2 linked regions of the Caenorhabditis elegans genome follow. The protein of the gene in region 1 interacts with the protein of each later gene in a pairwise test. Each region holds a gene or a part of one and is shown in the gene's direction. Other genes may lie near its edges. The genes, in order: lys-8 and abu-11.

The links.
Region 2: the proteins of lys-8 (region 1) and abu-11 interact in a two-hybrid assay, tested with the Caenorhabditis elegans proteins (one large-scale study listed by BioGRID).

What each region holds. Positions count from the first base shown.
Region 1 is NC_003280.10:5,583,983-5,587,913, forward strand, and holds lys-8 (LYSozyme), read left to right. Parts: upstream 1-2,195; 5' UTR 2,196-2,196; coding exon 2,197-2,447; intron 2,448-2,755; coding exon 2,756-3,032; intron 3,033-3,228; coding exon 3,229-3,561; 3' UTR 3,562-3,669; downstream 3,670-3,931. Other genes in the region: C17G10.13 (THAP-type domain-containing protein), read right to left, coding at 3,721-3,931.
Region 2 is NC_003280.10:192,467-196,397, reverse strand, and holds abu-11 (Activated in Blocked Unfolded protein response), read left to right. Parts: upstream 1-1,839; 5' UTR 1,840-1,863; coding exon 1,864-1,938; intron 1,939-2,583; coding exon 2,584-2,802; intron 2,803-2,850; coding exon 2,851-3,420; intron 3,421-3,482; coding exon 3,483-3,806; 3' UTR 3,807-3,889; downstream 3,890-3,931.

The sequences.
Region 1 (3,931 bases):
CGGTTGATATGGAAGTAATATACATTCTACTTTAATTACTTTGCTCAACCACACATATTTTAGAACATTGTAAGCGAGAAAGGACAAACGGCAGCGGAGAAGCTGAACAAGGAAGTACAGTTGACTCAAAACAACTGGAAAACGGACACAAAGTTGCAACCAGCAATGAACGATGCAATTGCAAAGAATGCGGTCGTTCTGGCATCAGCTGAAAGAAACTTGCAGACTCGAGGGCCCAAGCATCTCAAAAGAGTCAAAAAGTTTCTTTACGGTCAATATCCAAAGGTTTGTTATCAGGAATCAATATTCAAAGCTCTAGTTTCTTCAGAAGTTTTTCATAAATGTAACCATAAAGTTTCACTTTTCAGTATGTGGATATGAAGAGAGATCTGCTGAAGGTTGTCAAACAACAGAAGCCGGAAACCCAAAGTGTTCGCGATGAAAGTGCTCAAGCGATTTCGAAGTTCATCAAGGAAAAGTATGTGAATGCCAAAATATTGCATCTCGGAGAAATTCAAAGTGCTTTCGTCGAGTTGAGCGTTAGTTTTTTTTGAATATATTATTTATTTACACAAATTATCATTTCAGTTTTTCCATCGTACATCCGCTTTCACTTGGCATCAAATCGCTGAACGACAACCTCCAAAGTCTTCATATCACACCGAGAACTTCGACTTTCAACAATTCTTCACAGCACCTCCAAAAATGTAAACTTTGACGTCACCAATGATTTTTTTATGATGATTTATGATAATAAAGTGAGAGAGAAATGTGTGTGTATTCAGAAGGAAAAAACATAAGTAAATACAGGAAGAAGCTAAAAAAGAATATATATTCGTTTTTTTACGATATCATTGAATTTCTGATTTTTCAATTTTCAAAGGAACATTGGATATAGAACAAGCTATATGATATCTGGAACATCAAAATGTGGCATAATATTAAAAGTAATGAAATAGGCGGTAGGCACATAGACAGGCAGGCGGGCAGTAGGATCACGAAAGAAATACAGAACATCGACGACAGGCATGAAGGTAGACATGTGGCAGGCAAGTACGGATGGAAACTAAAATACTGAAAACCCAATGTAGGTAGGAGAGCCTAAAGAGGTCCCTGGATATAATTGAAGCCACTTTAAAGTTAAGTAAATATACGTTAACTGAAGAATTCAACAATTTGGCCAAGAATTAGTTGAAATTAATAATGGATCAAAAATCTTCAAAGTTTTTAGAAAATACCAATAATTGGCTTCAGGACTAAAATTTATCGTTTTTGTTATTTGTTCAATGAATAGACAGACACGTCACTTTTCATTATCAAATACTAAATTGATCTCGAAATGGATCTACAATTTCAGCTGTTTCAACAATTCGAATTCTTTACTCTCTGTTCCTCTGGAAATGACATCACTTCTTAAACTCGTCATCTTCGTTTTTATTCCATCCAAAGACAAATCTCGACTAATTGAATTCACATTAAAAATAGATTAATGATTTTTAAACAATTGGATTGCTCACAGGGGCTATCGTTGGATGTTAGTACAGTTTAAACAGACATGTTAAACGGTAAAAATATAGTGAAATGGGAAAAATTATGGAACAAGAAGGAGAATGTTTATTCAGCTGCAAATGGGATTTTTGTATAAAAGAATTGGTATAGTGCTGAAGGAGAATATCATACATTTTACAGTTCTAGTTTTCAAGAACTTTCAATTTTCTTCGCTGTTATGGTCAAAGTTGAACGTAAAACATATGCATAATCGCTTTGAAAATCTTACCACTATCTGTTAGTCAGAAAAAAATTGTGTTCACTTATGAACTATCAATTTAATAAAAGACAACAAATTGTCATTTACGAGAATTTGAACCTAGAAAAAATCATCAAAACGCCCACGCTCAATTACCGGTATTCCACATAATTTGTGATGTTCTTTTCATCGACATTAATGACATAAAAGTGTGTACACAGTTACTGATAACAGAGTGTGATATCATGATAATGTTTTCCGAAATTATAAATTCAGATGGACAAGCGGTACTTGCCAGCTCTTTGATAAAGACTATAAATCATGATAACCACTCCAGTTTCTTCAACATTTCGGTTTAGTATTTGATTTTTATAAAATTTGGTTTCTTATTCTTTGTTCTTTTTGTTAATAATTTTCTCTTAACTCATTCAAGTTGAACATTTTCTAGAATGCTTCTCAAATCAGTGGCTCTTTTGTCAGTACTGGCAGTACTTTGCCATTCGGCTTCAGTCTCCGTCAAGGTCCTTCCATTCGTTGACTCATCTCTTCCAGTCAAATTCAGAGAAGTCATTGCTGAGGCTGCTCCACGAGTTCCACCAAATTTGGCTTCATATGCTTTCGCTGTTGATTTGTCTGTTCCAGTTTCATTGAGCCAGCTTCAGTGCCTCAAACAAGCTGGTTATTCGGCAGTCTTTGTCCGGTAAGAATTGAAAAAGATTTTATGATTTACCTATCTATAAATTGTTATTTATAAAAAAAAGTTGAATCTTTTTTTGCCCAAGGTTGGCCCAAGTGTAAAGATATTGTCAACAGTTGAATTAAACTTGAGCTAAACCAGAACAAGTTCTGGTCATGTATTGTCACTTCAGAACCTTTTTAATATTTTTGGCCAAACTTGGGCAAACATTTGCCTGCTTTCGTTTCTGATTAATTCATTTTTCGATTCCAAACGTTCATAATTTGATGAACATTTTCTAAAACTCCATAACAATTAAATCGAATTTCCAGTGCATACAACCCAGCTGGACAAGGATCCTTCGACACCAACTCCTGCAATACTATTCAGAATGCGTATAACGCTGGACTCGGAACAGAGATCTACATGACTCCACAGCCGGCTTCAAGCAAGCAAGGATACCAACAATTGGATGAGATCTACCAAGGATTGACTGCAAGAGGAATAACAATCAGATCTGTATGGATCCAGGTCACTTCTCCAACCAACTGGCCAAGCAATGCTAATAACAATGTCAACTTTATCAACAGTATTGTGTCAAGAGCTAGAGTAAGTTTCCTGTAGAAGCTTGATTTTTTGCTCAAGGAATTGAAATACATTCAAATACGAAAACTCGAATGATTCGTATTATAGTCTAAAACATTGATTAATCTGATAAGACCTTTGGGTTAAGACGTTTTTAAACTGAACCGATTAGTTCATACTTCTGCAACAAATTTCATATCAAAATTCATATAATTTACAGCAATATGGAATGACTGTCGGAATCTACACTTCCTACTACGACTGGAACCAGATCACCAACGGATGGAGCAGCATTGGAAATGATGTTCTCCTCTGGTACTGGAATGTCCTTGGAGGTGGTGTCAATGGAGAGACCCCGGCCAGTTTTGCTGATTTCCGCGCGTTCGGATGCTGGACTACTCCATCTGTCAAACAATTCGCTCAAGTTGAGCAAGTTTGCCAGTTCACTGTCAACAGAGATGTTTATGCTGCTGGAACTATGCTCAAGGCCGCTGACGCTGTTGAAGAGGATGGAAAGATCTACGCTGGAGGATTCATTCAAGGAAGTCAATAGATTTTATCAGTTCCGAAAATAAGTGGAATTTGACTACTTATATTTTGTATCTAACTGTACCCCCAATATGTTATGAAAATCTGAAAATAAAGTTTATTACAAAAAAACAAAACACGAGAATCTAAAAACAAATAACAACAAAACAATGCGAGCTTGGCTCTAATTTTCTATATCTATTTCCGAGTCCGTTCCCTTTTCCATTTTGATATTCGTATTGTCTTCTTTGACTTCAACGAACGTGTTTCCTTCAAGCTTGAATGCCAGTACTTTCTCCTGGGAAACAACATTTGGAACAGCTGTTTTAAGAAGTCGTCCACGAGAACTGAAATCCGCTTGCGGGAAATGTTTTCGACACATGTAATTTGCAGGT
Region 2 (3,931 bases), 5.4 Mb from region 1:
GCAAACCAGTCAACCGGCAATTTACCGATTTTCCGAATTTGTCGACAAAAAAACTTCCGAACGGCAATTGCCGCCCGCCCCTAATTTGAAAAGTTTTTGTATAATACGGTTCGACAGCCGTACACATTTTTTGTTGTGTAGCTCTCAAATACACGCTGTGATTTGAGAATCCATGCATCTGATCTTTTGCAGAGTCTTCCTATCGAAAAGAGCAAATTTCTCAGTACCCCTTGATCTTTTGTAGAACTGCTCATTCACAGCATCTAATCCCCCCACACGTCTTAACATAATTAGCATTCCTACATTAGCTACTACATGTGTTGATTATTTGTCTAACAAGATAGAGATAGTGTATACATACTTCCGCTCTCATAAAGACCGGTCATTTTCCGTGCTCATTCTCACTCTCGCAATGTTCTTCCCACACCCTTGATCCTAAGGAAACATGCTCCTCAAGAATAATCTCTTGAAAAGCGTGAGCGATTGTGGTAACAAAAAATCATGAGTATCAATGAAAACAATTCAACGGAATTTGGATTTGGGTGGGTGTGAAGGCGCTGTAAAAAAATGTAATATGAATTTAAGACCTCTATCTGCAAAAAGGTACAATGTAATTTTACAAAGTATTCAAGGTTTCCCTTGAAATAATTTTATAAAAACATTCGTACTAAATATCGAAAACTGCACCAAAACTATTTGCCGAGTGGATTTATCAGTTTCCCGCAATATTGGCAAGACTATCAGGTTATATGATATGATATTAGTATGAGTGCACCTCCACAAGAGTAAAGATGCAATGACTAAGATCAAAAAATTCCATTCCGCTTTGAGCACAAAAAAGATTCAGCGCTGGTAAACTAGTTCTCACCAAGTTTAGAACATCAAACAATTGACGCAATTTGTAGGTCATAGACTGGCAGGTTTTTGATGTTTTACATGACAAGTTTGAGAATAATGAAAGCAATCTTCATACATTTTAATAACTTTTTAAAGAGTTTTTAACTGATATCTTCCTAGAGCAACAAAAACAGCTTATATTTGCAAACATAACCATTTAAAGTTGAAAATGATACTTTTGCCATTGGGTTTTGAATTTGTCAAAATCTTGTTATTAATTTATTTTACTCATGTAGTTTCTAGAAAACATGTCATTCGTCCTGAAACCCCATGGAGCATACGTTATTGTCCTGTCAGAATGTTATTACGTAATATATTACTCATGACATTTACACCATATACAAAAATCTATTTATTTGCAAATATGTTCCATGATTATTTTCTGAGCAACAACAATTATATCATAGTCTAGACTTCACAGGGATAATTAATGTTGTTGGGAAGAAAAGTAAGAACTTTAGAAATGGTGATTGACCGAGTGAACTCTCAAATATCTATTTTTGTCTTTGTAATAACTCTATGAGTAATGAGGAATGAGGAACTGAATTTGTGACTGCAAATTAATCAGAAAGATTATTTAAAGAAGAAAGATATTTTGCTGTAGTTTGTGATGGCTGCTGAAAGACCACCGGAAGACTTTTGACATCGACCAAGTCCTGAAAGATCACGTCCCTCCAGTTCTTCAACTGTAACCCTTGTGAATACTAGAAAGTAAAAAACAAAAAAATAACAACATGTCAACATAACAACACGCCCTCCCCCTCTTGCTCTGCTCTTCCAAACACATGAGCACACACACACACAGGCACACGCAAAAAATTTGGAGACGCATCACTCGAAGAAACCGGAATTTGGGACAGAGGTGGTAGTAGAGGAGAGGGGGCGATGTTTAACTGATTGCAACGGGAAGATATATAAGCAAGAGCATGTATTGGGACAATCATCACTCACTCTGACAAGCTTGAAATGAACACCAAATTTTCAATTCTCTTTTCGCTTTTGGCGGTTTCAGCACTTGCGGTGGCTGCTGAGGAGAATGTGGTATGTATTATTTTTATGAATCTAATTATAAATATTTCATTTGTTCCCCTTTTCTAACTCTTATATTATAAATACTTATTTTTTAATTTTAAAACATTTCGTGCTCACTCACAAGCAATTGCATAACTTGAATATGAATTAAGTAAAATATAGGAACTTCTTAATATATGTTTCAAATAGTTTATCGTTTGACTTCATTATTTTACTACTGAAAATTTAGCAACAGGGGAGTATTTTGAGCTGCAAAAAAGTCGTTCTGAAAAGTTTTCAATGAATTTTTCACAACTTTCGAACTATCGAGGGCAGTAAAAATGTGCCAAGTGTGAATTTTTGCTGACTTTCAAGAGCTTCTAGCATGTTTAGGAGCTGGCTAACAATCGTAAATTTTTTTGGAATTTTTAATTTTTTGAAAAAATCTGAAATTTTTTCACTCAAGGGGTTTTTCTGATTTTCAATTTTACGGGCTTCTAAAGTAATAAAAAAAATACACTAATAGCAACTTCAGATCGAAATTTTTCTAGTTCTAAGTTCTCCTCTGCCGCTTAATTTTTTTTGCAAGGGCCTATTTAGAAGGTTTTTTGCAAATGAGATATTATCCAGAAGACTAAAAAATTAAGTTGAAAAATTAAGTCGTTCCTTTTTCAGTTCCTCCGCGCTCGTCGCCAATCTTCATGTGGATGCGCCATTCCAGCTGCTCCACAATGCAACTGCCAACCAGCTCAAACCAACACCGCCCAACAATCTTGCTCCTGCGCTCAAGCTCAACAGCCATCAAGCTGCGGATGCGCTCAACAGTATCAGCAACAACAGTGTGCACCAACTTGTCAGAGCTCCTGTGAACAGAGCTGTGTTGCCCAGCAACAGGTTAGTCAAACCAAATTCAACCCAGTTAGCCATTTCATATTATTTAAGCCAATCGCCCAGTGCCAATCATCTTGCTCTTCCACTTGCCAGTCCGCATGCGCTCAGCCAGTTCAGCTTCAGCAGCCAGCTCAGCAACAGTGCCAACAAGATTGTCAAGCTGCTTGCCCACAACAACAACAACCACAGCAACAGTGCCAGCAGCAATGCCAGACGACATGTCAATCCGATGATCAGTACTCTCAACAATTGATCCAACAGCAAACCTACGCTCAGCCAGGACAAATCCCAGCCTACACCGGAAGATCCGAGTACAATACTGCCCCACCACAACAGCAACAAGCCAGTCAATGCAATACCTGCCAAAACTCGTGCCTTAACACATGCCAGCAGCAACAGCAGCCAGTGCAACAGTGCCAATCATCATGTGATCAATCGTGCCAGCCACAATGTGCCACGCCATCTGGCTCCGCTTACAACCAAGTCAACTACCAGCCACAGGCCCAGAACAACTACCAAACCAACAACAACTACCAACAGCCAGGAGCCATTCCATCATACCAAGGAGCTTCCCAGACTGCTGCACCAACCTACCAGCCATACAGAGACACCAATGTTCAGGTAACATATTAATAGTATTACTTCTAAATCTAGATTTAAAGAAATCCAACCTAAATTTGTAGGTCGGAGGAACCATCTCCCAGTGCAACACTTGCCAAACCCAGTGCAACCAGGAATGCCAAGTCCAGCAGACCCCAGTGAACCAGTGCGCTCCACAATGCGACGCTCAATGCCAGCCAGCCTGCTCCCCAGCTGCTCCAGCAGCTCCAGTTCAAACGCAACAACAAATTCAGCTTACCATCAATGTTCCAGTTGCTCGTCAGTCCCCACAGTGTCAGCCACAATGTGAGCAAAGCTGCAACACCCAATGCATTCAGCAACAGCAACCAATCTCGCAGTGTCAGCCAGCTTGTCAGCAGAGTTGTTCGGCTTCCTGCAGAAAGTAAATTAACTTTAATTATTAATTTTTGGGAAAAAATAACTTTGTGATGGTTTTTTGTGTATATTTTGATAAATAAATTGTTTTCTACATATGTTCATCTCCTGCATCATACATCTTCACTAAATATTT